Linked DNA regions of Drosophila melanogaster. The protein of the gene in region 2 purifies or fractionates together with the protein of the main gene of each other region. This does not show direct contact. Each region holds a gene or a part of one and is shown on either strand. Other genes may lie near its edges. The genes, in order: Pfdn4, mst, CCT4 and PDCD-5.

Region 1 (7,133 bases), on a different chromosome or scaffold from region 2:
GCTCTGCTTCTCGTGTTGTTTTTGTTTTCGGCCGTGTGACTTTGTACGCATTTTCGTGCAGAGAACACAAGTCAAAAAAAAAAAATGCGAAGCGCAGATATTAAGCACGATGGGCGCGGGGGGAGGGTGTGTCGGCGGGGGCGGGGCGAAAGCATAATTTCTGCATTTGCAAAAACAATCCAGGCAAATGTAAATGGCAGCTAATTTAATTAGAAAAGACAAGGCAGCTTGCAAAAACGCAAGTGTGCAAAAAATAAGGAAAATAAAGAAAAAACTTTAAGTATGAAGGCAAGAAGAAGAGCGTGCGCGAGCGAGCGAGCGAGAGCCACATAGTGAGGAAGGAGCGGGGATGATATTTCGGAAAATGTCAAGTCACGAAGCCCAATTGCAACGGAGTTTTTCCAACGCCAAACGCGGCCAAGGAAAATTGCAAGAGCAGCGTGGTCCGCTGGCGAAAATAAATTTCCATTCGCCCATTTCGCTTTTATCGGCTTTCGTCTTTCGCCCTTGCTTTCGTCTTCTTTTTGCCCGTTTTGCACCACACACACAATCACATTGCGGTCCGCTTGTCGGGTCCGTAGCGGCGGAAAAATCGCCGCCGGTCAGCGGGAAATGCAGAAAACGGATGGCCAACAACTCCGGGCGTGCGGGGATCGCATTTTTAAGCTGCCAAATTGCTAATTTATCAATTTTATTTCTTACCAACGCCGGTACTTGATGTATTCGCCATTGTGGTTAATGCTAAGTGCTAAAATACCGTAAAAGTGTGCTAACGCGTTTCCAGTGCGATGTGACCAGTGCGGTTTAGGTTTTGCTTGGCTTGCTTAACAACTCTGATTTTTACACCGTTAACAGTGGTAACACTTAACAGCGCCGTCAAGTGCAATATTTGGTCACTAATTAAAAATCATTATTTAACAATATATAGCATATTCTCTGAAAATAAAAAGGAAATTTAATAGTTGCATTAGCTGATAAGTTTGTCATAATATATGGTCATACCAAAAACGGCAGCCAGCTGCTCTGCTATCAGTGCTGTTAACTAACATGACACTCTGTCCAATGTTAACGCGTCAGCTTTTTTAAAAACAAACCAATTGCAACCGATTAAATATTAATTTGCGAATATTCTCGGGCCCATAAATTAATGCGGAATCAATAGGTGTAACGACATGGAGAGCTTGTACCACCAAACCAACAATGTGGTAAAGGACATCGAGCGCGATTTCCAGCGACTGAGTCAGCTCAGTGCCCAGGAATCGCTTGACGTGGAAAACGGCATTCAATTGAAGATTACCCAGGCGAACGCGTGAGTTCTACAATGATATATATTATCCCAAGAGGAGTTTGTATTATTAAATAAATCTTTTGTGTTTAGAAACTGCGATCGGTTGGATGTGCTGTTGTATAAGGTGCCACCTTCGCAGCGACAAAGCTCCAAACTTCGTGTGGATCAGCTGAAATATGACCTGAGACACCTGCAGACATCACTGCAGACGGCGCGGGAACGAAGACAGCGACGGATGCAGGAGATCTCCGAGAGGGAACAGCTGCTGAATCACAGATTCACGGCAAACAGCGCGCAGCCGGAGGAAACGCGCCTGCAATTGGACTACGAACTGCAGCATCATACGCAGCTGGGTAACGCCCATCGGGGTGTGGACGACATGATTGCCTCGGGCAGCGGCATTCTCGAGAGCCTGATCTCGCAGAGAATGACGCTGGGCGGAGCGCACAAGAGAATCCAGGCGATAGGCAGCACACTGGGTCTGTCCAATCACACGATGAAACTTATTGAACGCCGGCTGGTCGAGGATCGTCGGATATTCATCGGAGGAGTGGTGGTCACCTTGCTTATCATCGCCCTGATCATCTATTTCCTAGTGCTCTAATCTGAAGACATCGCGTTTAGTTGAGTTTAAATTAAATGTACTCTATTTTGTAAAATGTTAAATTAACAATTGATCAATTGTGGATTAATCCTCGGCCTCCAGTGAGATATTGCTGCCGAACCGCTGGTACAGATGAGCCTTCAGCTCGTCCATTTCCGCCTTGATAACCTTCGCCTTGGCCTCCACGCCGGCGATCTCCTTGAGCACCTGCTCCTTGGTCTCCTTCAGCATGTCCTGTGTTTTCTCCAGCTTGTGCGAGAGGAACACCTCGCCAACCAGGAACGGTATGTCCTCGTCCTCGTCGAACAGCTCAATCTCCTCCAGCGCCTCCTCCAAGCTCTTCAGCTCATTGCGCTTCGTTTCCAGCTCCGCTTTGAAGTCATCCATGCGGGCGTTGTGCTTCGCAAAGCGGTTGATCCGCTGCTGATCCTCGAAGGAGATGTGCACGTCATCGTGCTGAAAATGCGATTTAAAATATATATCATAAATTTCAATTGAGCAGATGCACAGAAAAAACCATGACAAAGTGAGGTTACTTTTCATCTTAGTCAGCTGTCCTTTGATGATTCACCCATACTCACGTTCTGGAACACTTTGTTCGTGCCGCTCGCTACTTTTGCTGCCATTTTCCCGTTGGTTTTAATTAATTTAATAAATAATTTATGATATTTTACAAACAGTTGCTGTTTTCGGTGCTTCGCAAAAAATTTTATTTGTTTAACATTTTAGTGTTGACAAACGGAGAGCAGTTAACAGAGAGAACGAGGCGTTAGGCTATTTTACAGAAGTGATTCCGCTTTAGCAATTTATTGTTATATCTTCAGCACTTATATTTATTTAAATAGTTATGTTTAATTTTTTATGACTATGTTGAATATAAAATATATAAAATATTTAATAAGTAGGGTTAATAATTTAGATATTTGCTACCTTTAATTTTGTCACTTAACAGTGTAAGTAACGTGTAAAAAAAATGATTTTGTGTAATCTTACAGTGGAGTACATTTAAAATGTACATATCCTGTGTAAAAACATTTTCAAGTGCAGTTACTTTTTAAAAACAAAAAAAATTTGCTAAAATTATATGTCCTATGCTTACATTTAAATCGAACTATTTTATAAATAGGTAAAATCTAACTTCCTTTAATTTTTTTTTAAATTAGTAAAGTATTAACAAATAATGCAAATTCAATGAGAGTAATTACTTATCAACGTTTTTTTTTCCTACTCTTTAGTATGTGGCACTACAAAACTTAACGAACGAATAAAAAAAGCGTATTAATTGTTTCTGTGATTCAGCCATATTATTTTCGCCACGAATTAAGCCTACCGCACACAGCTAATTAGTCAAAGTTATTATTGCTTCCTTTTTGGCCATGCGATTGAATCACTAATTGTTTGCACATGTCACAAATTAAGCAAAAACTAATAAATTATTACAGTTAATCGCCGTAATTAAACGGGATTTCTTCGCACGATGCAATTAAATTTCACTAACACCCGCCTCCACCCTTATTTTCCATTCCCTTTGAATCCGCATTAAACTGAGTATTTCGAATGGCGAATGCATTTGCCACTTTCATTTCCCCTTTTCGAATATTATCAAAATATGCAAATGCAATTAGACACAAACTCGAGATTAGCCATCGAGGTAGTGGGAAAGTGCAGGAAGTGATAGTGTTAATATCCTGACGATGACTCCGCTTATCCTTTCGCTTTTCCGCCGAAAGTCCGTATGGACATTGTCAGTTCACAAATTGAAATAATTTCGGTTTTAGGCAAATAATTGCAACAAAAGGGGGGGGGGAGATCTATAATAATATATATAATATGGACATTTTTGCTGCAAATTGATGTCTAATTTATTGCATTTGCATCGCATCAATTGCAATTGCGCCATGCAAAAACGATGTTTGCTGCAACAAGTTGTCCTTTGAGTTTTATCCTAGGTAACGAACTTGTGTATGGAAAACTTCATCAGCTTATTGCTTTAGCATCGCAATCAGATTATCCTTGAGATTTCCTTTAAGCAAACATTTCGAACGAAGTTGCTGCAATTTATTATACCCTTTTATCGCAAAGTAAAAGGGTATATTATATTCGTTGCAAAGTATGTAATGAATGATAAAAGGATTGAATACGAATTTGTTTGCATTATTTCAATGATTCTTGCTTGAAGCTTGTTTAGTTATATATTTATTCTACGTAAAGTTAATCGAATTCATTTTTAGATTTGCACCGAAAATGGTTACACCTTTGGTTTGCATTTCCATTGCTGCCTTCGATGGAATCCTTTCCCATTGACCCACATTCGGGTCATCAAGTGATGCCCACATATGGACAGGATTCTTGCAAAAAGGACTCGCTACGTCCCGCATCCTTCGGCCATTCTCCTCCAGTGCGTGAGTCCTGAAACACGAGGGAAATCAAAGGACATGGCGTCAATCAGTTTTCCACTAAACCAGGCACACATGTCGGTCACCTCCTGCGGGCTCCGCTGCCTCCCCTCCCTTTCTGCGACTCCTGTGGATTTTGCCTCTTTTCCCAATCTCCATCGAGTGGAAAACTTGGCAGCAATTGGCGACCGGCAGTTGAAGTATGACTACCTTCTTTCTCGCAAAAAAAAAAAATAGATAGTTAAACTTTGCTCTGCTGGGCTATTGATGTATTTCGACTGCTTGCAGTTGGTATTTACATTTGCCCAACTATTTCATTGTTTGTCCATTTTGCAGGATGAATGTGCTTTGATTTCGATTTCATTGCACACAGGTGCGCACGAGGACAATTCGGTTCGGTAAATGCTGTTTGATCCAGGCAGTCAGTTGTAGTTATCCTGTAGTTTGGTCCTTGCACTCAGAAAAATGAAATTTATGTTTCATTTAAAAATATATCATATATACAAAGAAAAGAAACATTAAGAAATGTAAGAGAAACACACTTCTTTAAATATATTATATATATACATATATATTTATATTATATTATTATATATATAAAAAATACAGCTTCTATAAACTTTTTTGTCAGCATATGCACTTGACTGCGTCATTGGCCTTTTATTCTATAGTTGAGATATGCCAACTTTTGTTTATTTCCAGCTGCTATTTGTGGTTTGCCTCAATCTCCCCGGAGAGCCGATGTCTACAACAGAAATTGTTTATGTTTTAATGGGAATTTGGGTACAAAAAAAAAAAAACAACACATATATGCTTTAAGTTGGCCCGTTCGAATGAGCCAACGCCATGAAAATCGAGTTAACATATATCGGCTCTCATTTCGCATTCCGTTTTCGTTCCTCTTGACTTTTTCGGATTCGATTGCAATTTGTGTTATTAAAAGCCGCCTCTTGGTGGTGGAAGCTCAGCTATGGCTTTAATGCGTTAATTTATCAAGCCAGCAGCAGACTACGGACCCATTTCATATATGTAGACACTCATTGTATCTCCACATGAGAGTCACGTTTCCCCGATGAGAGGCTTCAGCTGGATTTATGGCCTCACTTAGAGGTTGTCCCTTCTGATGAGGCGGAACTCGAGTTTTGTTAGTGGATCCTCGACAGGTGGCATAAGTAGAACGAAAATGAATAATAATGGCAGCTACACATATATGATTAACCCTGATGACTGATAGGCCAAGTGGAATAAGCGACACTTGGCTAATGTGCTTATAATGAGGGTAAAGTTGATCGAATATGGTATGGTCATTAGGTTGGAAAGTTTTGCTAACTTTGAAGTGCAATTGAAATAAGTAAGAAAATACAAAGCTGCAAGTCAGAAAAATAATGTCAAGGAAATGAAATAACTTCTTTGTAACTTCATAGAAATAGTATTATTAATTATTTTGTTACATTTAAAGCAGTTTCTTAAATTTTACCCCAACTTTCTGCATCTCCATTGTTGCTCTGGTGACTGCACTTAATTGAGTTTTTGGTTAATTATAAGCGGTTTTGTTTTTAATGCCCCAACATTATGTGCACAACCAGCGGAAAATAAATGTTCTTGGCGGGCCACACAAAAAGGAGCTGCCTGGAAAAACAGAAATTGGGGGAAACTGCTGAAGTCTCATAAATAATACATGGTGGTTATCACTCTCACTGTAGCATTTTGTGCTGTTCAATTCATAAATAATGAGTGAGTGCTAGGTGAACTCCACAACGCCATGCCTTTGAAATGCAAATAAAAGGTATTTTCCTGGCTGAACTTCAGCCATCGCATACCACATGGCGTATGCGCAATCCACCTTCTCTACCTTTGTATCTTCTATATTCGTTTTTTTTTTTTTTTATTATTTTTCGATCAATTTTACAATTGAATTGAACTGTCCAGAAATATGTTTGAGATATGTTCGGGGCAAATGTGTATACAAATTTTGTTGCCCCCGGGCCAAAAATATGAATTGTCAAAATCGTAACGAGCTCTCCGATGTCCGCCCGATGTTTTTCAACCCGTTTCGCTGACATCGACTGCATTGAAATGTCATAAAAATTGAAACACGTTTCTCGTTGTGTTCGCTGGAACAGGAGTCGTCTTCCTGTATCCGAAATCCACCATCCTAACGTCGCTCCTGAGCTCGACTTTTGAAAATGGCATTTTGGATGGTGACACTGGCCTGCAATGTTTCTGCCTCTGGCCTGCTGCTTTGCATACAAATAACGCTAATCTTTGGCTGGCCAAGCCCATTTCCCAGCCCATCCGTGAGCCTTTAGCCATGGCTATAACCATACACACATACATACATATATGTACATATACATGCATACATATATTCGTTAACCCATTCCGCAGCTTGTGTGTGTGTCTGTGGCTGATGTTCCGACTTGGCCCATTTCGCTGATGGTGCAATTTTGCACTTTACACGTGGCCAGCATCCATTCCTTATGTGGGCGTTGGCGCTTTTGGGGCGTGGCACACGTCTGGGCTACCCGGGATATTATGAAAATTTATTGTTTTACGTGCGAGTAATTTTGGGCAATTTTGAGAGACTGCGCCAAAGGTCGGCGCGTCTAAATCAATGCGCAAAAAATGCAGCCATCGAGTGGAGTTCCCGAAAAATGGGCAAAAGCTGTAGTAATCCCAACTGCAGCTCAATCAAAATGCTCAGCGGAATTTAAATCAAAATTCAAATTGAGCATCAGAATATGATGCTATGAGTTTATAGTATTCTATTGATTTATTTGTAATGCTGTTGATTATTAAAATTTTAATCAAATTGAACACACTTGCTTGCCAGCGAAAAAAAAAA
Region 2 (8,709 bases):
ACAACCGCCGAGACCTCTAATTTCCCCGAGTACAATACAGGATGGCATTCCCGTGCTAGCCCTCCTTTGGCCCTCTGCTGTCGTCCTTTTGCTATCTCCTCAGATGTTGTGGCAAATTAAGTTTGCTTTTGTTCTAGATTAAAAAGGCATTGAAATGTCGACATCGAAGGGCGGTGGGTGGCAGCCGAATGAGTGGGTGGTAGTAAGCGGCAGTTAAAATGACGCCTTCGGCCAAATTTAGCTAACTTTGTTAAGTTTGTTTTGGCCGCGGGAGCCGAGTGTCGGACGCCGCCTCCGAGTACCTTCGCCGGATGATGAAGTGCCCAGACGGCGATGGAACCACAGATATAGCCGGGTGCGGATGATGGGGGCTGCCAAGACGGGCAGAAATTAAAAATCAACTGCCGCGTGGGCGAACAAGCCGAGCACTTAAGTAGCTGACCAACTGAGTAATTGAAGGAGCTAATTGAAAACGAAGGGATAAAGGGATAACGGAGCTCAGGATACAGAGAGAAACGTTAGGATTACATTACTGTGTGCTTTACTTTACTAGTCAACTAGTCAACTCTAAATCGGGAAACCTGGAAACCGATTAAAAAATTGCGCGGTAGATTCTCGCAATCATAGATTGATCATAAATCATTAAATCATACAGCTGAGTGGAGTCAAAAATAATAGTCAACTTAAAAGCGAGATCTGTTGAATAAAACTAATTCGAAATGAAATTTTATATAAAGAAAAAATGTTAACAAATATATCTTAACATGTATGGCAACTTTATTGATATTTAATAAATGCCTATATTCCTATAAAAAAAAAAAACTAGTTTTTTATGCGTTAAATAATAGCCATCACATCACATACTAATCCAAAAACTTGAAGTCATTGGAATCCCTTCAGCCTTGCTAATATGGAATCCTTTATAAATGAATCGAATCTAATTAGTACAATCTAAAACCATATCCTCAATGAGTTCCTCGAGCCAGTTATACTGGCCTAATACTATTAACCATCTTAGATCAAGTGAGTGAGTTAAGTTGTGTATGCACTTAGACTCGCTTAATTTCTACAAGCAGCTCCAGCTCGACTTCAATAACCATCGTTCCTGATGCCAAGCCAAGAAGCTACTGCTTAATACTGATTAGATCAGGCTCGCGACGTATTAGCACATAACTGCACCAGAGAACCCACCGACACTGTCCCAGATCTTGGTGTCTTATTCGATCATAGGATCTGGATCAATGTAGAGCGATCCATAAGTAATCCACCAATGGCTCCCATTTCTGGCCTCCGAAATCCGTACAGAACTCGTCACAGTGTTCTCTTCCTACCCAAGCTCATTAGCGCTCCTGACACTTGCCACCTGGAAGGTGACTAGCTGCCGGATACAGCCGTCAACATTCCTTACATACATATGTGCATGTTGAATAACTTCAGGTTTAAGGCATTTTGAGTTTTAAATAATTACGAATTTATGATGACATTAAATTCCAATGCAATTATGCATTTCGTTCTCAGTGTACCTACCAGTGTCCCAGTGTCCCTGTGTCCCAGTTAAAATATTAACTTCTTCTTTTACGTTTTAGATTGGAGCTGTGCAAATTTGGCCTACAAAATGAAACTATTTTACATGCCTCGCCTGGTTTTATGCCCACATTCCAGGCGCTTAAAGATCTGCCTGATTATTAAATTTAAATTCTACAGAAGTTGACACCCAGTGAGTGGCCCAGTGTTTGGATCAGAGCTGGTGCAGCCCACATTAATCAAATACATGTATTGCAGGTGGAGTGAGTGGCGGCTGGATGTGCAGTGACAGGACTGCATGCTAATGCAAGGACTCGTCCCAATTCACATGCAGACCGAACCGGACCGGACCGGTCCGAATCGAAAATGAAAACGAAAACGAAACAAAATTAAAAGCTGCAAAAAACAATATACGAAATATATACACTCCACTAGCTCGGCAGGCTATTCAATTTGGCATTTCGAATTCCACGCACATATTCCATTAAAGTCGTTGGCGTAATTTTAATTTCGGATTTGGTCCTTTTTCCCCGGAAGTACACCAGCAGCAGCTAGAGAACAGCAGCTGCTTTAAGGACCTGTGCTAAAAAGACGGCAGAATGTTAAAGGAGCGGTGCCAATCAAATTGAAATTTAATTTGCAAAACAATGTGGACGCAGGACGCAGGGCTGGTGCGGAAAACTTGACCGGCAAACGGAAAACACTCGCCCAAATTATGAACCCCCTTCTCCAGGCCCTAATCCCAATCCCAATCCCATCCACCTAGTCGCCGCCCGTTAGCAGTCCATAAAATTGTGATTTACTCCCGTTGAGATTTCAATTACTGCCGCTTTATTGACAATAAATTTTCGTATAAATTAAGCGGCCCAGCTCCCGATCCAATTCGATCCGATCCGTAAGGGTTAAGGTTAAACAAAGCGGCCAGTAGCCGCACGTAGACGTCGCGGAAAGGTGAAGTCGACCAGGAAGGGTCCTTGGGGTCAACGGAGAAGATGGCAACCAATTCAAAAGACCGAATTCCGGTTACCCAGTGGTTGCGTAGGTCCGTGGCGTTATTTGTGTTTGATATGAAAGCATAGCGATTGTTTTATATTTTTTTTTATATTTCATAAAGGCAAGAGTTTTAAAAAGAAAATCTGTAAAAAAGCTGACAAATTACATAGATAAAAGTAATTCAGAAATAAAAGCACACATCCCTTTAATTTATGTTTAGTGCAAGTAAAAACTCATTAGTCCCAAAACAGTTAGTTCAGTTTTTTGACTATAGAGTCTATCCTTTTTAATAAAGACCTTTTCAATAAATTAATATGCCCCTGGCCTTTTCCAGGATAGCAGGAATAAAAATTGATTGCCATGCAAATAAAAATTCACCGATTTCTTTAGGCACGTCCATGTCGTCATGGTCGCACAGTGGGCGAAATAGCCCATCCGGCACGCATAATTTAATAACTTCCTAACGATGAAAGCCAACATTTATTATGAGATATAATGAGATTAACGATTTCCAAGCTCAAACACCTTTTATTACATATTATCCCTAAAATGTTTTTTAACACCATTAACATTAGTACGCCAATCAAAATGTTTATAGTAAGCAAATAGTTTAAGACAAGGTTTTTAACAGCAGATAAATTCCAAGAATTCAGCTGAGAAACTAAAGATATAAATCGATGTAATTATAGACCTTGTAGTCACAAACGTTTTACCGCTCAGAATTAAACATTTTTTTTAAATACTTATCAAATTGGCCATTTCGACCATTCTGCGTTATTAGAAACTTCATTGACGACTCTCAAAATTCTCTGCCCAGACAACATTGTTTTTGTTTTGTTTTGTTTTGTTTTTTACTTTCCTCGCTTTCCTGGAAACGCGAAAATATCAAAGCCGCTTCCGAGACTGCCAATCACAAAGTGCCGCGGGTGGGGCCACAGCCCATCAACTTCCGCTCCGGGTAAAGCTAACCAACCTGACACCTTAGAGGACAAGGAGCATGGCACATTAAGCTTATACATACAGGCCGTAACAATGGTTTCGAGAACATTTTAAGCTAAGCAAATAATATATGCATCGATAGGTTGAGTTTGGTTACAACAATCTTCACGAGAGTCGTAAAAATAAAAGAGATATAGGAATTCTAAGGGAATTACAATTTAACAGAAATAAATGCACAAGAACTAATCAAATTATGTCGTTTGAACTAAACGAAAATATAATTCGGAGGCAATATAAAATGACATATTCATCTTGAATTCGACTGTATACGAGTGTTTTTTGTGTACATAATCCTAGGCTTATCACAAAATCTTAGTTTCCAAAACCACAGCATCCTATAGATACTGCGAGTCTGCGTAAAGGTCGCGGAACTCAAGCAGCTGATCCAGCGCCGTATCGTACTCATCCCGCTCCAATCCAGAATTAGAGTACGCTTGCAACTTGGCCAGCTGCACTCGATGCGATTGGGCGTGCACATTGTCCAGATGCTCGCCCAGCTTGGTGGAGTTCTGTACGGCGGCCAGCATGGGTGCCGAATCCACACGACTACCCGTCTCGCGTTCCGCCCCCTCAGGCAAGCGGTAGCCATCGCGTGATATACCGGCTGCAAACATTTCATAAGGAAAAGGTAGCTGTGTCTTTAGTGGCAGTGGTGTGGCTGCCGCATTTGTAACACTTCCATGATAGGTGCACTGGTAGTATAGCTGCAGCATATGGGATATACTATCGCAGCTATAGGCAGCCATCCGAAGTTGATCGCCGGCCAGCTCCCTGGGCCGTTTCAAACGTTCCGCGGGAATGCCACGAGCCGTCACTGATTGCACCACGTAGGATGTGCCAGGCTCACAGCCCGGTGTGAGTTGTGTGAGCAGCGCGTGGTCGCCACTCTGGTCTAGAAACTCTATCAGATCCTGACCCTCCCTCAGCCCAAATGGCAGAGCCAATCCAGCGGCGGTCATCTTTCTGCCCGCTGGAGTGACGCATTCGCAAAAGCGTAGCAAAGATTCTGGCGTTTGCCGCAGGCGGTAACTCAAGGTGGCCGTGTCGAAAAAGGCGGCCAGCAGCGCTGATGTCTGGTAGAGGTTATCCGTCTCCCACTGGAGTCCCGGCAGACTGCGCGACTTCAGATTATTGTTTCGCCAGATGGTCTCCAGCGTGGATAGCGGCGTGAACATCAAAGCCTGCTCGCTGAGTTGGTGGTAGCCCAACACATTGTTTACCACCCGAATGCTGTGCGACAGGCGGGTATCTGGGAATTGGGCAAACTGTGTTAATATGCTAGATTTCTTTAAAAATCACCTTACTTACCCGCTTGGGGATAACTAGTGATCCTGGGATAGTGAAGTGGCAGCGCGAAACTCGCCCGGCTGTACTCATCGTTGAGGTGCTCCAGGCACTTCCCAGCCAGTCCGCCGAAGCCATCGTCAATGTCGAACAGCACGTGGAAGCCCTGCAGGCCATCGCACTCCTCTACATACAAACGGATACGATCGCAGAACTCCTCGTTGAAGGAGACTTCCTGCCACATTTCTGTTCCGGCAGAGTAGGTACCCAGGGCTTGGGCAGTCGGATCTCGGATCAGCCCCGGCAAGACATTCAAGGTTCTCGGGTGATACCTGGCGTAAAGGAAGTCCACCCAACTGTTTGCCGTCGCTGCCAGCTGATAGTTCTTCTCGGGCACCACAGCATTCTTGAGCAGATCCCGCTGATATTCGGAAATGGAGGCCTTCGACTGCTCCTGCACTTCCAGCTGCTCCGGTGAGCATACGCCGCTCTCCTCTGCCCGCTTGCGAACCTGTTCCAATTCCTCTCCGGTGCTCAGGGGCAGCAACTCCTCATCACGCTGCACAAAATTGCCGTACAGCTCGCCGGTCACCGGCAGATGTCCCAGGGTCCCGGACAAATCCACGGACAGCAGGCGGGGCGTGTAGGTGGTACGATTGAGGTCGTTGCGCCCTTCACGGTACAAAATATCATTGTTGGGCAGCTGCTCCTCGGCCACCTGTTCGCTTTCGTCTCCGTACCTAAAGTTGGCCTCCTGGAAATGTGTAATTCGTGAGGCTCCCGGCTGCCAAGTGGGTAGGACAACTCACCTGCTGGTTCCAGAAGTGTGTGCCCACGTAATTCGCGTACGTTCCGAACTGGAAGGTCAAAATTTCACGTGTATAGTCCATAACAGCCGGCGAAAGTGACTAATTCGGATGCAATTGCGCGAGCCCGCGGAACTATCGATTTTCGCGGATATATCGATAGCTGTGTGCGGTAATAAGCGTTCTTAATTTCGTTGATTGGATACTCTGTATTAAAAATAAATATATTTAAAAATATTATTTATAACTGCAAAAAAGATTTATATATTTTGAAAGTTTTATAGGAATATGTTATGTTTATTAATTTTACTTATGTATGTAAATATATCGATATGACCTTAATGTCTATCACATTGAGAAAAAAAACATAAGAAATACGAGGAATTTTTACAATAGAGCATAACAACCTTAATATGTAACCCGCAAAAGCCGATTGCAAACTTATCAAGTCATACGGTAAAATCTCAAAAAAGAACGGTAGCGTTTGTGGCTCCAATTGTTTAGTTATTGGATTGCAACGGATTTTATTTTCGGTCGATACGGTGAAACCTTATAAATAGGATCTCCGAAAGAAGAAGCTATAAGTCGGCTTAAACGTATTTTTAAAGAAATTGTCGATTCCCATAGATTCACATATCCATTCAGACGGAGGATAAATAAGTCAGAAAAGAGCGAATTATGAGATTTCTCTAATAAACTAGAAAAGAAGTTAAGGTGCTATACAATGTTAAGTTAAAATATTTAATTGCTGATTTTTACACACGTTACTCGTAGAATAAAAGGGTATACTAGATTGTGTAACAGGCAGAAGGAAGCATTTCCGACTATTTAAAGTATATATATTCTTGATCAGGATTAAGGATTAGGAGCCGAGTCGATCTAGCCAAACTTTATAAATTTTTTCTAATTTTATTCCCCAATTAGCTATTGATATCCCAGAAAAATGATGAAATTTCGCGTTCGCATTCACACTAGCTGAGTAACGGGTATCTAATAGTCGGGGAACTCGACTATGGCATTCTCTCTTTTTATTTATTTAATTTAATAAATGGAATATATTAAATTTTTTTTAAAGGTATTTGCTTACCTTTAAAAGTAGATTTCAATAACTGTTTAATTCAACTATCGATAAGCCGATAAAGTCGCCGATAATTCAATGGACCGATGCCTCGCTCTTTTTCTTGTTGGGCCAGAAAACGTGCGCTGCGCATTTTCCAGCGTTTTTTTTTATACCGTCGCCCACCATGAGCCAGATGACCCAGAAAACGGTGCAATTCCACGAGCTGGAGCTGGATCAGCGCATCCTTAAGGTGAGTGCCCGGCTTGCGACCGACAGTTCCAGATTTTAAAGTGTTGCGCTCATCTTTCAGGCGGTGGCCCAGCTGGGTTGGCAGCAGCCCACACTTATCCAGTCGACGGCGATACCGCTGCTTCTGGAGGGCAAGGATGTGGTGGTGCGCGCCCGCACCGGATCCGGCAAGACTGCCACCTACGCCCTGCCACTGATTCAGAAGATCCTTAACTCCAAACTGAACGCCAGCGAGCAGTATGTGAGCGCTGTGGTCCTGGCGCCCACCAAGGAGCTATGCCGGCAGTCCCGTAAGGTGATCGAGCAGCTGGTCGAGTCCTGCGGCAAGGTTGTACGCGTGGCGGACATTGCCGATAGCTCCAACGACACGGTGACCCAGCGGCACGCCTTGTCTGAAAGTCCCGACATTGTGGTTGCCACACCCGCCAATTTGCTGGCCTACGCCGAGGCTGGTAGCGTGGTGGATCTGAAGCATGTGGAGACCTTGGTGGTGGACGAGGCGGATCTGGTGTTTGCCTATGGCTACGAAAAGGACTTCAAGCGGTTGATTAAGCACCTGCCTCCCATCTACCAGGCTGTCCTAGTCTCCGCTACTCTAACCGACGATGTGGTGCGCATGAAAGGCCTGTGCCTGAACAACCCGGTTACGCTTAAACTCGAGGAGCCGGAGTTGGTGCCGCAAGATCAGTTGTCGCACCAGCGCATTCTGGCTGAGGAAAACGATAAACCGGCTATCTTGTACGCCTTATTGAAGCTGAGACTCATACGCGGCAAGAGCATAATCTTTGTGAACAGCATCGATCGGTGTTACAAGTGAGTAAACCATACGAATCCCGCCTTAGATGCACAGGAGCCAATGATGATTAAACCACAAATGCAGGGAGTGGGCAGCTGGCAACAGTTGGCGCACGCATGACCAGCAACTAATCTTCTCGCTGACGGCATTCCCATCCGCCCCTAAATACTTACTATAATTCGTTCTAATTATTACCCATTTAAATGTTTCAGGGTTCGATTGTTCCTAGAGCAGTTCGGCATCCGTGCCTGTGTCTTGAACTCCGAGCTGCCTGCCAACATTCGCATCCACACAATTAGCCAGTTCAACAAGGGCACCTACGACATAATCATTGCCTCCGACGAACATCATATGGAAAAGCCAGGAGGCAAATCAGCGACTAACCGAAAATCTCCTCGAAGCGGCGACATGGAGTCGAGTGCTTCCCGCGGCATTGACTTTCAGTGCGTGAACAACGTAATCAACTTCGACTTCCCCAGGGATGTCACGTCTTATATCCATCGGGCTGGCAGGACGGCTAGAGGAAATAACAAGGGCTCCGTCTTGTCCTTTGTCAGCATGAAGGAGTCCAAGGTAAACGATTCAGTTGAGAAGAAACTGTGCGATAGTTTTGCAGCCCAAGAGGGCGAACAGATCATCAAGTGAGTATAGAATAACATCTTCAAAATTGTAATATTGCTAAGTGTGCCATCACTTCAGGAACTACCAGTTTAAAATGGAAGAAGTTGAGTCCTTCCGTTATCGTGCTCAGGATTGCTGGCGGGCCGCAACTCGCGTAGCTGTTCACGACACTCGAATTCGAGAGATAAAGATAGAGATCCTCAACTGCGAGAAACTAAAGGCATTTTTCGAGGAGAACAAACGCGATCTGCAAGCGCTTCGGCACGACAAGCCTCTGCGCGCCATCAAGGTACAGAGTCATCTCTCTGACATGCCCGAGTACATAGTGCCAAAGGCCCTGAAGCGAGTGGTTGGAACGTCCTCTTCCCCTGTCGGAG
Region 3 (8,940 bases), on a different chromosome or scaffold from region 2:
GGTTCCTTCTGCGGCAGTTCCATCAGTTCAGGGGAATAGGAGAAGCGGGTTCAGCATGGAAATCCATCCATCCAATCTTGTACATAGTCAGCTTATGCTCCAAATTCTTCCACAACATTCCACATGCCAGACTCTCCATATCAAATGCAAACAATGCCATGGATGTATTTAGTAAACTAGGTGATAGCCAGTCGTATCAGAAAATCCATTACGAATTTATGAGTACATATAGCTCCAGTACACTATACTACCTATTCGTATCTGTATGCATATAGAGTTCCTAGTTCTAACTATTCCCCAAATGCCATACGTGTGTATCTGTTGTGCCCCATATCCCCCATATCCATTATGCCACAAATCAGTCCTCTAGTTGTATTTACTGTACTGTGTATTGACCTAAATGTGTATGTATATGTATACCGATGTTGTTGTACGATGTCCAATTGTAAATTGATCTTGAACACACTTAGATCGTAACATCCAAAAATTTCAATAAAATTATTCCGATAAAATAATTTATAAAAAAACATACTGTATTTTAATATTGGGTGGAAACTGTAATCAAAGATAGATGCAGTTCAAGATATGCGGTCTATATATTAGAATCTTCTGCTTAGTTCCATTCCATTTCTATATTATTTTTTAAAAACATTTATTTTATTTTTATTTATCTTATTCAATGCACTAAAGAAAGGAGTTTCATTTAATTTGCCACCCATATTTACCAGCTGTATGTTTTTGAAAAGCCCTAGCTTATTATTCAATTAGCCAGCTCTTTAGGTTTACTCCAGCGTGTGCCATATAAAAACGCACTCGAATCTCATTAGGCAGAGCCTAAATAAATATTGAACGAGGTATTTAGTTAACTGATTTCCTTGGCCCGCCCCAAAAGCGTTTGCCAGCCACGCGACAAAGGCAAACAAGACCATTTTTTAATAAACTTCCTGGCAAACGCGGGCCAAAACAGCAAAAGGATGCGAAGGAAGGACCCAAACCAGCAACCCCTTTTTTTTTTATTTTTTTGGTTGCTTTGGTTGTCGAGTGTGGATTTGTTGGATAAGAAATCACTTCATCTTTTTGGGCCCGGCGACAGTCAATATGGCAGCGCAGACAGAACCCTTATTTGTATATCGAGGCAAGCGTGTAAATCCTTTTTTTACCAACCCCCAACTCCGATCCCTCGGCCCGGATTTTCCCCCTGCTGCCAAAAGTTTGCCGGGCTCTGATTCGTTTAGGGCACGAATCTCTAAAAAAATGATAGAGTTGGGGAAGTTGGCAAAGGGTTCATGCCATCAATTCACACATGGTTATGTCATATGCTCCTCGCCTCGGTGGTTGATTTTGGTCTTGTAGTATGGGTAGTATGGATATAGCTCCTGTGTTGTTTGCTGTTTTTTTTTTTTTGGACTACGATGTGGGCAGTGGAAGTATTTTATGTTGTCCCAGTTGTATCCTTTGGAAATCGCTTAAGCGAGTCAAGTCCTCGATGGAGATATCTTAATGGAAGTGTGCCAATAAATTAGGTAAATGATTGTGAAAAGGAGTGGAAAGGACACATGTGCTTAGCACTGGTTTTTTAGCATTTTTTTAAGCTGGATAAATATTATTGAGTAATATTTTCTATGCATTTAAGGAAAGCTTCAAAATATCCTGAATAAATATAGACATTTATACCTACATATGCCTGGTTTAAAATCAATCTGAATAGACACATATCCTTTTGCATTTTGATTTTTAGAGGCTACTTTAATTTTAATTTATGTATTTCACTTTGAGGCAACACATATTTATTTAAAACTTTTACTTGCCTGCAGCTGGCCAGAGTTGCGAATAAATTTTTAATCTGGCCAGAGGTGAAATCTCGACCAGAATCCTTACCCCATTTAATTTGCAGGCCATTCGCCCACACACACACACACACACTCTAGCACACATCAAACGGAGGCCAAAAGGAAAAGCCCATCGATTCCAGCACTCACACTTAATTGGCGGGCACTCGAATTTTGGGCAGCTCGGGGGCTTGGGACTCTTTGAATGTTATCAGTCCAGTGCAGACGACGTCCGTCCATTCCACATGGCCAAAATGTAAAGAAGAATGGCAGCGGACGCAATTTCGGTTTTCAATGGGGGGAAACTTCAATTGCATTGGTCATATTCAAAGTGCCCTAAGCCTGAACTGGTCCAAGTGGGTTGATAAGCCCCGTGGGCTATTATTTCGGGGGGATTACCCCGGTGGTTTCAGATCGTCCGGTCGAGATTTCATTTGGCTTTCATTTGATCGATTTGATTTCCTTTCCTTTCAACGAACGTTGAAATATTTGCTGCATTTGCAAATTGAATTTTCTCGCCGGAATATGTTTCATTCCTGTTTCGCCCGATTCATTTATAACAATTTAATGAAATTTTCGAATGCGTTTTCATAATATTGTCGTCGTCCTGACATCATTAATCACTCGCCACTTGGCAGGACTAACGAAAATTAAGTTTCCTTTATGCTTTTGCTTCAGCATTTCTATTCTTGATAAGCATTTCGGTCTTGCCTCCTTGAGTGGCATGAACTAGATGGAAGTATTTCGCTAAACTGAGCTGTTAAATGTTTGGACCATTAAATAAATACTTGAAGTCTAAGGACATAAGAAAAACTATTTTTTTTAAACAGAAAAAGTTTTTTCGTTTTATGAATAAGTAACACGAGATACAAATGATAAGAATAGGTACAAATTATGGAAGATAGATTAACATAATTCTTAGACCGATAAATACGCTATTGCACTTAGCAAACTATTTCTTTATATATTTGATTCATTTTATATCTTTTAGCATCCTTTGTTCCTATTCTATCTGCCAGATACTCGAGATCTAAGATATGACAGACACTGGTAATTTCGGTTGAAAGTGCTCGCAAATTATATGGCGAGCATATGTTAAATTTCTGCGTGACTGGCTGACAATTCGTTGCTTTGAATTTCAATTCGTTTGGCAAAAAGAAATGTAACAAGGACACACAGGACATACAGGACATACACACCCCTTTGCGCCCTTTTCGCCCGACTGGAGAACATAAGACTTGTGCAAACATTTGGGTAAAAAAAAACAACAGCAGCAAACGCGGGGAAAACACAATTGAATTACAATGAAAATATGAAATGAGCAAAAAGCAGATGAAGAAAATCGCACACAAAAATTAAGCAAACAGGCGAAACAAAGGAAAAGTGCCCGAAATAAAAAGTTTCAAAAGTGTGGGCCACTGGCTCTGCGAGCAAATAGCTCGGGAAAAAAGCGCAAATTCAATATTTGCTCAAAAAACAAATGGGAACGAGGACGTGAACGACAATGCCCCAAGACAGTCGAGCAAATAGCTAAAAAATATAAAAGTAGCGAAAATAAAATAAATAACTAAGAGGGGTGCTGCTCAAGTCGAATGAGTTGATACACTTCATTTTCTTAGGTGGATAAAATGCAAGCTTAAGATTGGTACTTGAAATACTTAAGAAAACATGTATTTTCTATTTAATGAGATTTTCAAAAATGTTGATTACAAAATTAAGTTTAAAGAAAATGATCTCATATTATCAAAAATGTATGTAGAATATGCTCATCTGAAAAGCGAGCACTGACTTTTCCACCCCCTGCAAGTCAAAATGGAAACCCAAATCAATGGCTGCTGCGCAAATAAACTTTAAAATGGAAAATTTGCATGCGTCTCCCGGAAAAGTGATAGAAAACCAACCCCTAAAACTTTTCAGCAGCCAATTAGCGGAATAGCTTTTATTGGACGGGCTAAAAAAAAAAATCAAAGCCAATCAGTGGCGTGATCCGAAATCAACACCATCTTGGCCATCACCTAGATGGGTGGTGGAAGATAGTGGGCTGGTGAACTCGATCCCTTTTGACATGTTTACACATTTAATTAACTTACACGCGCCGAAAGTTTCCGGACACGTTAGATAGTCCCCGTCTAATCACACCCAAGCGAAAACCCCACCCGCATGAACTTCCAAAATGGGGCTAAGAAAACAAAAGGATAAAGACCCTTTCGCAACCCAACCCCTAAGTCTTCCCTTTTTGACAATTTGAAACCAGTTCAAGTGGTTTAATCATTTAACGCACATCATAAAAATCGCATCAAGTGATTTTTATTTACACGCCCAGGACAAAAAGGATCCCCAAAACCTAAACGGAATACAATGATTGGGGCGGGGGTGCGAAATGGTTGGGGGTGAGCCATCCCTTTGAAACCCAAGGCGTTGGCTAAGAACAAGAAAAATGAACTCGCTCACTAGATAAGGTTTCGGTTAGTTGATAGACTTTTACGCTGTAATGAAATCTTAGAAATTCCATTTAAGAAGGAAATATATATGTATTACAAATAAGCTTAACCGCAAAAGGTATTAGCTTTTAATCTTAAGGAATATATAAGTCTTTATATAATGAGTACGAACTTCCTAAACATTTTTCCTTACTCCAATTTGTGATTAACTAATTTTATAGAACTATTTAACCTCAGAACAAGAGCACATATCAGTAATTAAATTCAAGTTTTCATGTAGGTTGTGTTAGCGAAGTATTTAATCATATAGTTTTATTTTTTAAATACATGTTAAGCTGGTGAGGCGTAGTGTATATGTGAATTTTATTCAAAATTTAATGCGCAACCGCATAATGGACATAAGATGTGAGACTTTAGATGAATTTGCGTGAAGATTGATCTTGATCAGAGGCAGACGACCGAAGAATGCGGATTACACTGCTTAACTGAAGGTGTTGACCTGTGAATAAATAAAAACATTCATTTAAATTTAAATCATTTCATTCATTTGTATAACACTTACAATATCGTCGATCTTCAAGATCGATCGAATCGTCTCCGTGGCCAGGGTGATCGACGAAATACTGACCAGCAGCGGCTGCACAACGTTCTCCGCGAAAATGTCTGTGATGGCGCCCTTGCGCACATTAATACCGGCGTTCTTCTCACCCTGAGCGTGGCGGTTGCGTAGCTCCGTGACCGTGGCAATGGGATTCAAACCGGCGTTCTCAGCCAGAGTGGAGGGAATCACCTCCAAAGCATCGGCAAATGCACGGAAGCAATACGCATCCACACCCTCCACGGTTTGTGCCAATGCGGCTAGCTGCAGGGCCATCTCAATCTCGGGCGCACCACCGCCGACAATCTGGGCGCGCAGCTTCACCAGGCAACGGACGACACAGAGGGCATCGTGCAGGGAGCGAGCAGCCTCCTCGAGCACCAGCTTGTTGGATCCGCGGCAGATGATCGAGACAGTGCGTCCCATGTTCTGAATGCCGGTGATCTTCACAAACTTGTTGGTACCACTGGCCACCTCCTCGACCAGATCGGCACTGGAAAGGTTCTCGGCTGTGAAGTGATCCAGCGAAGCGATCGGTCGGCAGTGCAGGGTCTTGCACACGAACTCAATATCCTCGCGCTCCACATCCTTAACGACCATGCACTTGATCTTGTCCAGGAAATGCTGAGCCAGATCAGAGACAGCATCGCTAGATAAGTGGAGAACTATCAGCACAAAGTGGACAAATAACAAGTAAGCTAAACCTACCGCAAGATAGACTTCTGAACGAGAAGAACATTGCATCCTGACTTCTTGATCTGCTTGACAATGTTCAGGATGTATGAACGCTCCTCCTTGAGCACACGATCCATGGCAGCGTAATCCGATACAATCACATTGTGATCCATCTGTAATTTCGGCATAAATTATAAAAGACAATAAATTGTTAGGATCATAGCGATGTACTCACATCGGTCTTGGGGGCCGAAATGCAGAACTGGATAAGACCGATCTTGGCCTTCTCAATGCGCTTGGGAGCGTTGGATCCGGCAGAGCGGCAGGTGAAGACCAATCCATCGACCAGCTCGGTGTCCTCAACAGTGCCACCCAGGCTGGAGATGACCTTGATGTTCTTGAGATCCACAGAGGTTTCCTTGCCGGGATCCGTAACCTTCAGCACGGCATCCACGGCAATGGGGGCCAGCAGGCTGCTCTGCTGCGACACCACCTTGGAGTTCAACGAGGTGGAGGCGCTCTTGATCAGCGTCTCGCGGTCGTCCAGCTCGATGGGAGTGGACATCTGTTTAAGAATCTCGACGGCCTTGTTCGAGCAGCGCTGGAACGAGTCCGAAATGGCCGTGGGATGCAGACCCTTCTGCAGCAACTTCTCGCACGCCTCAAGCAGAGCTCCGGCAATGACAACCACGGAGGTGGTGCCGTCACCAGCGGCCACATCCTGGGCACGCGACAGCTCCACCAGCATCTTGGCAGCCGGGTGCAGTACATTCATCTGCTTCAGGATGGTGGCGCCATCGTTGGTGATGGACACCTCGCCGTTGCCGGCCTGGATCATCTTGTCCATGCCGCGGGGGCCCAAACTGGTGCGGATAGCATCGGAAACGGCTGGAAAACAGAATTATTTCAATAGGTTATAAATGTATTTTAATATTTCGTTAAAACTTAATGAGAAACTCAGATAAGTGGAATTCGTGTGGTTAGTTTTACACAGCAGCATGACTAATTTACATACATACATACAAAAAGACATATGGTGTTTTATGTGTTAATTCAAAAAATCTACTGTAACTTATCTTAAGAGATAAACAATAAAATCCTTGTAGCGGATAAAAGGGTATTGGGAATAGAGTATTAAAAATCCTCAATTTTTAGGTTGTTTCAATTCATCACATGAGTAATGCGCGCTCTTCTTCTTCTTCCGCCCAAGAAGTTTCCAGACAGCCGGCATCCAACTGCTTTTTCAATAGGCCATTTGGCCGGAAATTCTGATGCACCACTGCTCGGAATTCAGTCACCTCGGTTCTTAGCTCAATAAATAGCACATACGCCAACATTTTGATACAAAAATGTGTTTAATTTTGTTAATTTCCTCGCTTTTTCTCACCTTTGGCCGCCTGGATGTTGGACAAACGCACATCGGTGGGCTTCGACTTGTCCTTGAAGGCCTTGGCCGTTGGCTTGATGTTGACAGCTGCTGCCTTGGGCGCCATTGTAGGGTTAAGTTATAGTTTTTTAACAAAACACAGTTATTCTACAATAAATTCACAGCGATTTACACAGAACACGTTGCTGCGAAATGTTAAGGAAAGTGTGGCCGCACTCGCTGAGCTCAAATATACCGCCAACTTATCGGCATCGATAACATCATCCCTTGTGAATGGCAAATTGGTGTGACCGTATTTTGCGTTGTGACTCGGCTGCTTTATTTACATTGAATTTTTGTTCGATTTTTGAATTTAAAATAAAAATAATGCCGCACGGACACTCTCACGATCACGGCGGCTGCAGCCACGAGGCCTCGGACGTGGACCACGCCCTAGAAATGGGCATCGAGTACAGCTTGTACACCAAAATCGATCTGGACAATGTGGAGTGCCTGAACGAGGAGACGGATGGCCAGGGAAAAAGTGTCTTTAAGCCGTACGAGAAGCGCCAGGATCTGTCCAAGTACGTGGAGAGCGATGCGGATGAAGAGCTCCTCTTCAACATTCCCTTCACCGGCAACATCAAGCTCAAGGGCATCATCATAAGTGGGGCCAATGATGACTCCCATCCAAACATGGTCAAAATGTAAGGAACAAAAGTCAAGGCTGCTTTAATATTACTATATTCATCATATATCTTATTTTTCAGCTTCAAGAACCGACCCAGGATGACCTTTGATGATGCCAGAGCAAAGCCCGACCAGGAGTTCCAGCTGACCCGCGATGCCCGCGGAGAAATCGAGTACTCACCCAAAGTGGTCACCTTCTCCTCCGTGCACCATCTCTCCCTCTACTTTCCCAGCAATTTTGGCGAAGACATAACACGCATTTACTATATAGGTAAGCTCACAACAATCTATGTTTTATCTGTGTTCCCAACTAAAACCAAGTCACTATTCAAAGGTCTTCGAGGAGAGTTCACAGAAGCTCATTACCATGGCGTAACCATATGCAACTACGAATCCCGTGCCAATGCAGCGGATCACAAGGAAAAGGCTTTCGATGGAGTCGGCAGAGCCATCCAATAGGGTTATAGAGATTAAAATTTACAATTTAATTGAGTATCTCTGTAGTGTATATATTTTGTGATCATTTAAGGCAAGAAATGTTTTTGTATTCGCTTAACTTATTGAGCATTTGTATTGCACAGATATTGTGGGCTAAATCATACTAAGTATATTGTGTGGGTGGAATCACATCGGGTCCTATTTTCATGCCCATATTGGGCACTTTATCCGAATGGATTTCAGCCGTGACCTCGGTGAACAGCTTGTCCCACTGCCAGAGATCGTCCTTCTCGTTGAGGCTCTCCTGTGGAACCAGGCAATCGGTGAGGATTGAGAGATCAAAGCCATCCACAGCTGAAAAGGCGTACTGGGAAAGCAAATCGGAATTGGCCTCCTTCAAAACAGCAGATCGTGAGGTGCCAATACTACAAATTACAACTTATTATCGTAGTGAAGAGAAATATAGCAGCTTCTGCTTACGTTGGCGGTTCTACAATCTCATTGAGCATGATTTCGTCCTTGACATCATCCATGTCTGGGATGACGGGAATGTCATCCGTTGGTATGGAATTTGTAGCCGACTTTGTTTGTTTAAAGCGCTCACTAAAATGAATTTTATCATTATAACAGTCGGTGGAAAGTGAAGTTATTGTGATAAACTTGTACTCACTCATCAAAGGAGTTTTTCTTGGACCTAAAAAGATATAGAGCAATCAGTAATGTGCCTAATTCGAGCCTAATCATACCCACTTTAATCCTTTGAGTCCAGAATCCGCCCAGCCACCTGAAATGCGACGAATGGGTGGTCGATGTGACTCGAATTCATTGTTGTATGTGGACGAGGTGGCCGTGTCCGAGGTGGTCGGTGGGGTGCCCGCCTGGACATTCAGCGTAATGTCGATG
Region 4 (7,440 bases), on a different chromosome or scaffold from region 2:
TATACCTTCTTTAAACTCCATAGGCACGGCCATGCCGGTCGCTTCGCAATTAATGCGGTGTTCCGTTTCGTTGGCCAGCTTGTAAACCAATAGTTCCATGCCCAGACAAGTGCCCCACACCGGCATAAAGACGCCCTGATCATTTAGTTCAATGGCCAAGTGGATGAGGTGTTCGCCCGCATCCGCATACCCATTACTCTGATTAAACCAAGTGGCTCCACCGGGCAACAAGACTCTATTGAAGTAGCAATAAATTTAGATGCGGGAACTTCCTAGAAAGTATATTTATACTTACCCATTTATCTTGCGCATGAGATCGTCGTAGTAGCTGCGATTGCGACCGATCCTGTCAAAGGTATTTGTATGAAAATTGTTTATTAATTGATTTCAGGCAATCTTATCAATACAACGAAATTTCGGTCTCCAAATCAAATTTACTCTCTAATGAATTTATGTTCTATAAATACACGTGTCGGAATACTTAATGCCACCCTACCCTATTCGACCTTATCGAGCAGTGGCAGAATTACCGGTCACGATAAGATCTTTGAATCTTTCTGCTCACTTACCAAATCGGCACTACTCGGGCTCCAGCTCCTTCGAGATACTTCACATACGAGGCGGCTATATAGCTGGTCTTGTTATCAAAATGTCTCGAGATCAAACCATCGACGTAAACTTCCTGTGTGAGAACCCCTATGATGGGCGATGAGATGCCAGCCTCTGAAGCGGCCAACAGAGCTCCGATGAAGATCAGCAAGCTGATCGAGAACTTCTGCATTTTGTTAGATCTTAAAACGAGTATTTTATCTTCCGAAATATCCGTTTTTCTTTGGTTCGGTTGGAGGTATCTTCAGTTTCCTAAGTACCTTGTTATGAGCTATTGATTATTCCACAGGTAATTCTTTAAAAACACGCTAAGTCGGTAAGCTAGCTTTCTCAGGGAATTCTTTCTTAGCTTGTTGTTTTAATTATTCGCAAGTTTTCCGGCTGCCAGAAGTATTTCCCAACGGGAAGTCTTGGCAAGGGCACAGGTGAGTCCAACCTCGGTGACCAATTAATAGGAACTGTCCGCTGAGGCAACAGTCGATTTGAATTTATATAAGGTGCGACGATTTTCCTCACCTATACAAATGGCTCAGGCTGTGTGCGTGGGCATGAGTTTGCGATGTGTGATTTCTAGGGCCTTCGGGGGGTGTACCCCTGGCGACTTGAGTCCAGCAGATAGTACTGCGATTAATTGATTATATTTTTTTTCCAAAGTATTGTGACCGTGGCACAGGGTGCTCAATGAGAAGGGGAATTACTCCTGGGGCTTCCATCGAAAGTTGGATAAAAACCTGTTTTATTCGGGCACTATTGGATAATTAACTAATTGCATCGATCATAACTGTTCAGTCGCGATTTTTATTCACATTATAAAACAAACGAAGTCTGTGTTATTGTTTACTTAACAGCTGATAGATAGCAACAGGCGGACGTGTGTGTGTGCGATCAGAACCGATTGCCAAGTCGATTAATGCCAATTCAGCTGCCCAGCAAACTTTGTTGCTTCTGTTTAATGCTGTTCTGAATACTCAGCAGGTACTTCATCTCTACGAGGGTTTCTTTGACTCCCGAAAGATCTTTGCTATCGAAAAGGGCATTTAACTTCCGGGCCATCTCCTCCAGTTCCTTGATGAGCTGAATATTTAAATTCTCCAGCGTTTGGGTGTCTTCCGCATCCTCCACCTCCTCGTTCCGCTCCATCATGGCCATGAGAAACTCTTTGTTAAGAGCGCTATTATCCTGCGGCATCTGTTCGCCCTCCAGTTGAAGAAGGTACTGACCACGATCTATGGGCGTGGAAAGCGTTTTATATGCCTTGTTGATGAGGGAACTCCAGTCTGAGGAGTTTGTTTGCTCCCGTGAGGTTCTGTAAACAAGGGGATTTTATCGTTGCCTTCCTGATTTTATCACTTATGACTATACCCACTTATTACTATATTTATCGGGATGCACAATGGTCTGCAACTGGCGAAAACTTCTTGTCAACTTCTGGGACTCCAAAGAAAATTGAATGGGAAAGCTGAGCAGTTTAAAGTAATTCTACAGAAACTAAAAGTTAAATTAGCCAAATAAAATGTAGATAAGTACTAACTATTCCTGAGTTAACATCCTGCAAGTGTCCACAGTCCGAACATATCATATTCTGCTTTAATTCCGATTTCTTTTGGCAATTCCAACAAGCCGGCGAAGATTCAACTGAAAATTTCCGTATTTCTGGCAACTGGAATTGATTAAATTGTGCTGCATTTCTAACAAGCGGTGTATAATTTGTAGCTTTTACAGCACTTTTAAAGCCATTAATAACTCTACTCATTTTCTACAATAAATTTAACTGAATGATATACACAATCGAAGCCTTTAATTACACAAGCTGATAATAACAAAAAACAGCTGATATGAAACTAAGGTGGCAACGCTACTGCTTTGCGACTATCGAGCTTAAAACTTTTTAAACTATTTCATTTAACTATTAAATATTGACATTTATGACGTTTAAATAGTCATTGGTCTATTTAAAATGTAAGACCTTAAAAATTGTTAATTGAAATTAAGTAATTAAATATAGTATAACTTATTCATAGAAACAATTCAATTTAATAAAGTTCAAATAGGATAGAGGTTCAATATAAGCAAAAAGAAAAGGAAGGTAAAAATATACAAATTAATGTCTTTAATAAGTAACATTTTATATATATACATAAGAAAATATCAGACAAAGAGCAGGAAAGTATACCAACATATAGTCTTAATGGATAGTGAAACACAGAGTTTTATGTACAGAAGTATAAATTTATTCCAACATGTGGCTTACAATCTAAAGTTCAGGTCGCGTGTCCTTCGAGCACGTCCTTACATGGAGTCCTTGCGATAAGCGCGGTAGTTGTTCATCTCATTGGGAAATGTTTTATACAGCTCCAGCAGCAGATTCGTTTTGAACTTCTTCAGGCCCTCGATCTTGCCCTTGACCTCCTCGTTCTTGGCCAGTGCCTTCTCCACGCAATCCTTGGTGTACAGCTGAGGATTCTTGTCTTGGTCGATGTAGTCAAAAAACACTTCAAATGGCACATAGACGTCCTGCACCTGGGAGCGCAGCTTGTCGATCTCTTGTAGGCCGGTCACCAAGCTGTTACTAATGGTGCACATATTTATAGACATTTGATCAAATAAATTTTAGCATTTTCTTACATTTTCTGGTTGAGTACATTTTGACCCTGTGGCTGAAAATCGCTTACGATTATGCGGATCTGACGAACATTCTCGATGAACATCTCTAGCTGGGTCTCAAGGTTCTCTAGCGGTGCAGACATTTTTAACGATTCAAATTCGTTCCTTATTTTGTGGGTATTTCGTTAATATGTTTGTTTTCCTTGGCAAATATTTTATTTTTCTTCGCAACTCTTCTTCTTCTAGAAAACACCGAATGACCAGGGCTACTCAAACGCAATTTTGAGCATTCGGATTTACGAATAAGCAAGGAATAGCAAGGTCACACTGTTCAATCGCACACTTTTTTTGCTACAAAGAGCGTGATTTATTTTTATAGAAGCAAAAAAAGCAATAATTACTTAATTTACTGCCATAAATATACTGAGAATAAGAACCCAGAATGTCGGATAGTGATTTGGATGCCTTACGCGCGCAGCGCATGTCCCAAATGCAGTCGCAATTCGTAAGTGAAATATTTGAGTGGCTCCAAACCGGCTAGATTCCTCTAGAGAATTCCAAAAATAGTCATAACTTGGAATGAAAGCAAATTAGACTATATAAAATATAATAAAAATGTTAAGAATACATTAGCAATGGTATGCTTTGTTAGTTCTTATAGACACCTTCCCTATGAGTCATCCTTCTCGACTGGGACACCTGTTTCTTTAAAGGGCAATCCTTCAATGACCTTAACTCCTTTTTTCCTATTTTTAGGGCGGCGGCAATGATGCGGAAAAGCAACAAGCCCAGCAGGAGCAGATGCGCGCCCAGGAGGAAATGAAGCACTCGATATTATCCCAAGTTCTGGACCAGCAGGCCAGGGCACGACGTATGTGGATCTAGACCTTGAATATCTCTAGCTAATAACTTATAAAATATCATTTAGTTAATACCCTCAAAGTCAGCAAGCCGGAGAAGGCGCAAATGTTCGAGAACATGGTCATCCGCATGGCCCAGATGGGTCAGGTGCGTGGAAAACTTGATGACGCCCAGTTCGTCAGCATCCTCGAAAGCGTCAATGCTCAGATGCCGCAGAGCAAGTCCTCCGTGAAATACGATCGGCGGCGGGCGGCCATCGATAGCGACGACGACGAGGATTACGGCTGCTGATTCGTCCGAAATTCCGCCCAACATCTAATTTAAGTTATGCCCGCTCCTCACATCCGCTAAATCATGTTTATTACTTTTACTAACTTAAAACGAGAAACAAAACTAGATGCCCAAATACGTATGGACTTCTTTGTGTCAGATGGCGAATCTTAAAGCGTATTGGAAGTTCGTGCCAAGCGGCAATGACATACACTGACATAGGACTAGATTTGGCTTACATTTATATGCGGTAGAAAAGTGGTCTAGAGGAGGGGTGGGGTCTTCTACGACTTCTTATAGGGATTTATCATTTCATATTCTTGTATGTTCCTAGCTTTTTATGATCTTGCTCGGAAATGCACTATGAGATCATCTTATTTACTTTCTCTAACATTCACTCGCAATCAAAAGCTTTCACTAGATTCATTTTTAAGTTATCCCTTTACTCCTTCTTCTCGTGATCTTCATCGGGATCTTCTTCTGTGACCAAGCAATCGCCGCAGAAAATAGAGTACATGATGAGCGATAAGAATCCCAATGGCAGGCCGAAGATGACAGTGGTCAGCACGGGATTTCCCAGCCACATATCCCTTAATGCTCTTCGCACTTCGAACAGTGCCCGATTCAAACGTACAAAGTACGTATCTCCTCCATAGGCAATGGCACTTTCGTTGCGGATGGATTCTAGGAAAAGGTGCAGTGCCTGTGGAGTCATTTGCATTGGATCATCTTCGGGTATGAAGTGGTGTTGGGTGCTCGAATTAATCGCTATCAAGTGAGGCGTGGGCAGTTGATCCAAGATAATGGAATGTGCTATTGATGGCTCGCCAATCTGAAATGGAAATATTGATTAGCTCCAAATCGATAAAACTATGATAGAATCACTTACCCATCCAAATTGGAATTTGTCATGATATCGCGCCCTATGCTTTCTTATCACGCCCTCCACCATGTCCCGAAACTCCAGCTCATGCGTGGCTATCTGATTGAGCTTATCCTCCTGTACCACAGCCAAAACCAAGTACTTGTTTGTCTTGAGCAGCTGGTGGATGTTGAACCGAGTGACCTTTGGGAAGAGTGTGAACCTCTCCACGTTCACCCATTGGAAAACGGTTTCGTTCACTTCATTGGGGTCCATTTCGTGCGCCAAATGCCCATGCGGATAGAAGTGGTGCTGCTCTTCTTTGTAGACAATCACCGCTGGCAGTTTCTCAAAGTCAAAGTGTTGGGCAGCGATATCCTCGCTGGTGGCATAGAAAAATCCATGCTCTTGGTAACCTTCAGCTGCAGCATAGTATGTATCCCACACCACGCCCTCCTGTTGGCCTACGAAAATGAAAAATATCGTATGGGATCCCTTTAGCATGTCCACACTCTCCGTTCGCGTGACCAGCTGAACTGGAGGCCCAGACATCCTTAAGGCATAATCCACCAGCTCATCGCGACCGCGGTCTCCGTTGTAGGTGAACTCCATGTTGCCCTTGATGAACATAATGGTGGGATAGCCACGAACCTGTAAGAATTTGGGGATGCTTATAAGGAACTTGGACCAAATATGGTATATTCTCACCTTGAACTCCTTCGCCGCCGCCGGATACTTGGTACAATCTAGGCGACCCACTCGAACGTTGGTGGCATGCAAAGCCTGAGCCACCAGAGCAAAAATGGGCTCCGTTTTCTTGCAGTAGCCGCACCACGGGGCATAGAACATGACCAACCATTGGCCCTCGTGTCGCACATCGATGAACCGGTCACTGAGCTCCAAAACCTTCGAGGATAGCCCCGTCGAACCCAGAGTCAGAAGCAGAGCTGTTGGTTTTGTAAATCATTTAGCATCAGCTTGGATTTTTTCTATTGTTCGTAATTTATTTACCACTTATGAGGCCGAAAATCCACATAGAATTTGGCGACATCCTTGCAGCAGGTTTAATTTGTACTTCCAAGTGTAATTTACGTGCCCCTTATTTGCTATATCATGCTTTCCGTTATTTTAATAGCTTCTTTACTTAATTTAATTAGTTGATTGGTTTAATTTTCAGTTCCAAATTATTTTCCTTCGGACCACAGCAACAACAAAAGAAAACATTTGCAAAAACCACCCCCTTTAGACTGACCAGATGTGGAAAATATCCAAAATACTTAAGGAGATACTCTTTAGTCCAATGCGTAAATTGAACAAGTTTATTTATTAATTTTGTAGTTGTTTGGATTATGTTTTTAAAAGATTATTGAACTCAAGATTTTCATTCTACTATAACCTTAAAACTAAAATGAATTCGAAATAAAAACTAATTAAATTTTTTTATATGCATCTCTAAGAATTTATCTTTAATAATGACATAGTTAATAATTACATTTATAAAAGAATTTTTAATTTTGAAAATAAGTTTTTGAGCGGCCATAGAGCGGCTGCCTAAGGGTTAATCTGGTATATTTTTAGTCAGATGGCAACTCTTCAGCTTTGTTTACCTCACAAAATAGACTATCTGGCAACTCTTAGGCACACACGTGCATCTCCAGAGGAATTTTGTTTCAGTTGTTGTTCCTTATTTCTTCTTAACTAAATAATTGTATTAACTAAATAAAATGACGAATAATGCGAAGAAGGAACCCCAGCAAAGGGGCAAGCATCAGGTGCATAATGTGCGCTTCTACACTATAAAGCCGCGTGAAATTGTCAGCTTGGCGTATAGTAAATCGAGCAAGTGCCTCGCTCTGAGTCGGTAAATTATTGAAAATTAAAAAAAACCTAATAATTACTGTGCAGTAAACTAATAAGTACACTCTTTGCAGTGCAACACCCGTCATTGAGCTATGGAACCTGGAGCACGCCCCGTATTTGGATCGTGTAATCCACCTGCCCACCGATTCTCATGTGGAATCTATAGCCTGGGCGGGAAACCGCTTATTTTCCGTGGATTTAAGTGGTAAACTGATCGAGTGGGATGTGATTAAGCTAAAACAACGATATGAGCACTCGCCCACTGGCAATGCTCTCTGGAGTATCGATGTGAATCCCGCGGAAACGGATATTGCCATTGGCTCAGAGGAAGGGCACATCAACATCCTGAGTATTGAGAATGACGAAATCACCTA

The links.
Region 1: the proteins of mst (region 2) and Pfdn4 purify together in Drosophila melanogaster (affinity purification with mass spectrometry, with the first as the bait; one large-scale study listed by BioGRID). This does not show direct contact.
Region 3: the proteins of mst (region 2) and CCT4 purify together in Drosophila melanogaster (affinity purification with mass spectrometry, with the first as the bait; one large-scale study listed by BioGRID). This does not show direct contact.
Region 4: the proteins of mst (region 2) and PDCD-5 purify together in Drosophila melanogaster (affinity purification with mass spectrometry, with the first as the bait; one large-scale study listed by BioGRID). This does not show direct contact.

Annotation. Positions count from the first base shown.
Region 1 is NT_037436.4:5,365,427-5,372,559, forward strand, and holds Pfdn4 (prefoldin 4), read right to left. Parts: upstream 2,583-7,133; 5' UTR 2,519-2,582; coding exon 2,474-2,518; intron 2,349-2,473; coding exon 1,977-2,348; 3' UTR 1,915-1,976; downstream 1-1,914. Other genes in the region: Uev1A (Ubiquitin-conjugating enzyme variant 1A), read right to left, coding at 703-730; membrin, read left to right, coding at 1,173-1,309, 1,379-1,892. UniProt on the Drosophila melanogaster protein: Binds specifically to cytosolic chaperonin (c-CPN) and transfers target proteins to it. Binds to nascent polypeptide chain and promotes folding in an environment in which there are many competing pathways for nonnative proteins.
Region 2 is NC_004354.4:21,385,993-21,394,701, reverse strand, and holds mst (misato), read right to left. Parts: upstream 5,726-8,709; 5' UTR 5,691-5,725; coding exon 5,610-5,690; intron 5,555-5,609; coding exon 4,825-5,554; intron 4,766-4,824; coding exon 3,852-4,765; 3' UTR 3,169-3,851; downstream 1-3,168. Other genes in the region: Ddx56 (DEAD-box helicase 56), read left to right, coding at 6,851-6,916, 6,977-7,728, 7,924-8,352, 8,411-8,709.
Region 3 is NT_033779.5:12,685,787-12,694,726, forward strand, and holds CCT4 (chaperonin containing TCP1 subunit 4), read right to left. Parts: upstream 7,149-8,940; 5' UTR 7,037-7,148; coding exon 6,931-7,036; intron 6,432-6,930; coding exon 5,779-6,431; intron 5,717-5,778; coding exon 5,577-5,716; intron 5,518-5,576; coding exon 4,833-5,517; intron 4,770-4,832; coding exon 4,752-4,769; 3' UTR 4,550-4,751; downstream 1-4,549. Other genes in the region: pdm2 (POU domain protein 2), read left to right, coding at 1-39; CG6153 (uncharacterized protein), read left to right, coding at 7,297-7,616, 7,680-7,870, 7,934-8,058; IFT43 (intraflagellar transport 43), read right to left, coding at 8,201-8,462, 8,518-8,640, 8,708-8,731, 8,788-8,940.
Region 4 is NT_037436.4:16,228,118-16,235,557, reverse strand, and holds PDCD-5 (programmed cell death 5), read left to right. Parts: upstream 1-3,519; 5' UTR 3,520-3,655; coding exon 3,656-3,718; intron 3,719-3,969; coding exon 3,970-4,084; intron 4,085-4,141; coding exon 4,142-4,365; 3' UTR 4,366-4,477; downstream 4,478-7,440. Other genes in the region: l(3)72Dp (lethal (3) 72Dp), read right to left, coding at 6-235, 296-346, 570-781; Hsc20 (heat shock protein cognate 20), read right to left, coding at 1,528-1,915, 1,976-2,088, 2,141-2,362; MED10 (mediator complex subunit 10), read right to left, coding at 2,899-3,178, 3,235-3,356; Tmx3 (Thioredoxin-related transmembrane protein 3), read right to left, coding at 4,787-5,176, 5,234-5,857, 5,915-6,153, 6,218-6,257; l(3)72Dn (lethal (3) 72Dn), read left to right, coding at 6,931-7,067, 7,138-7,440.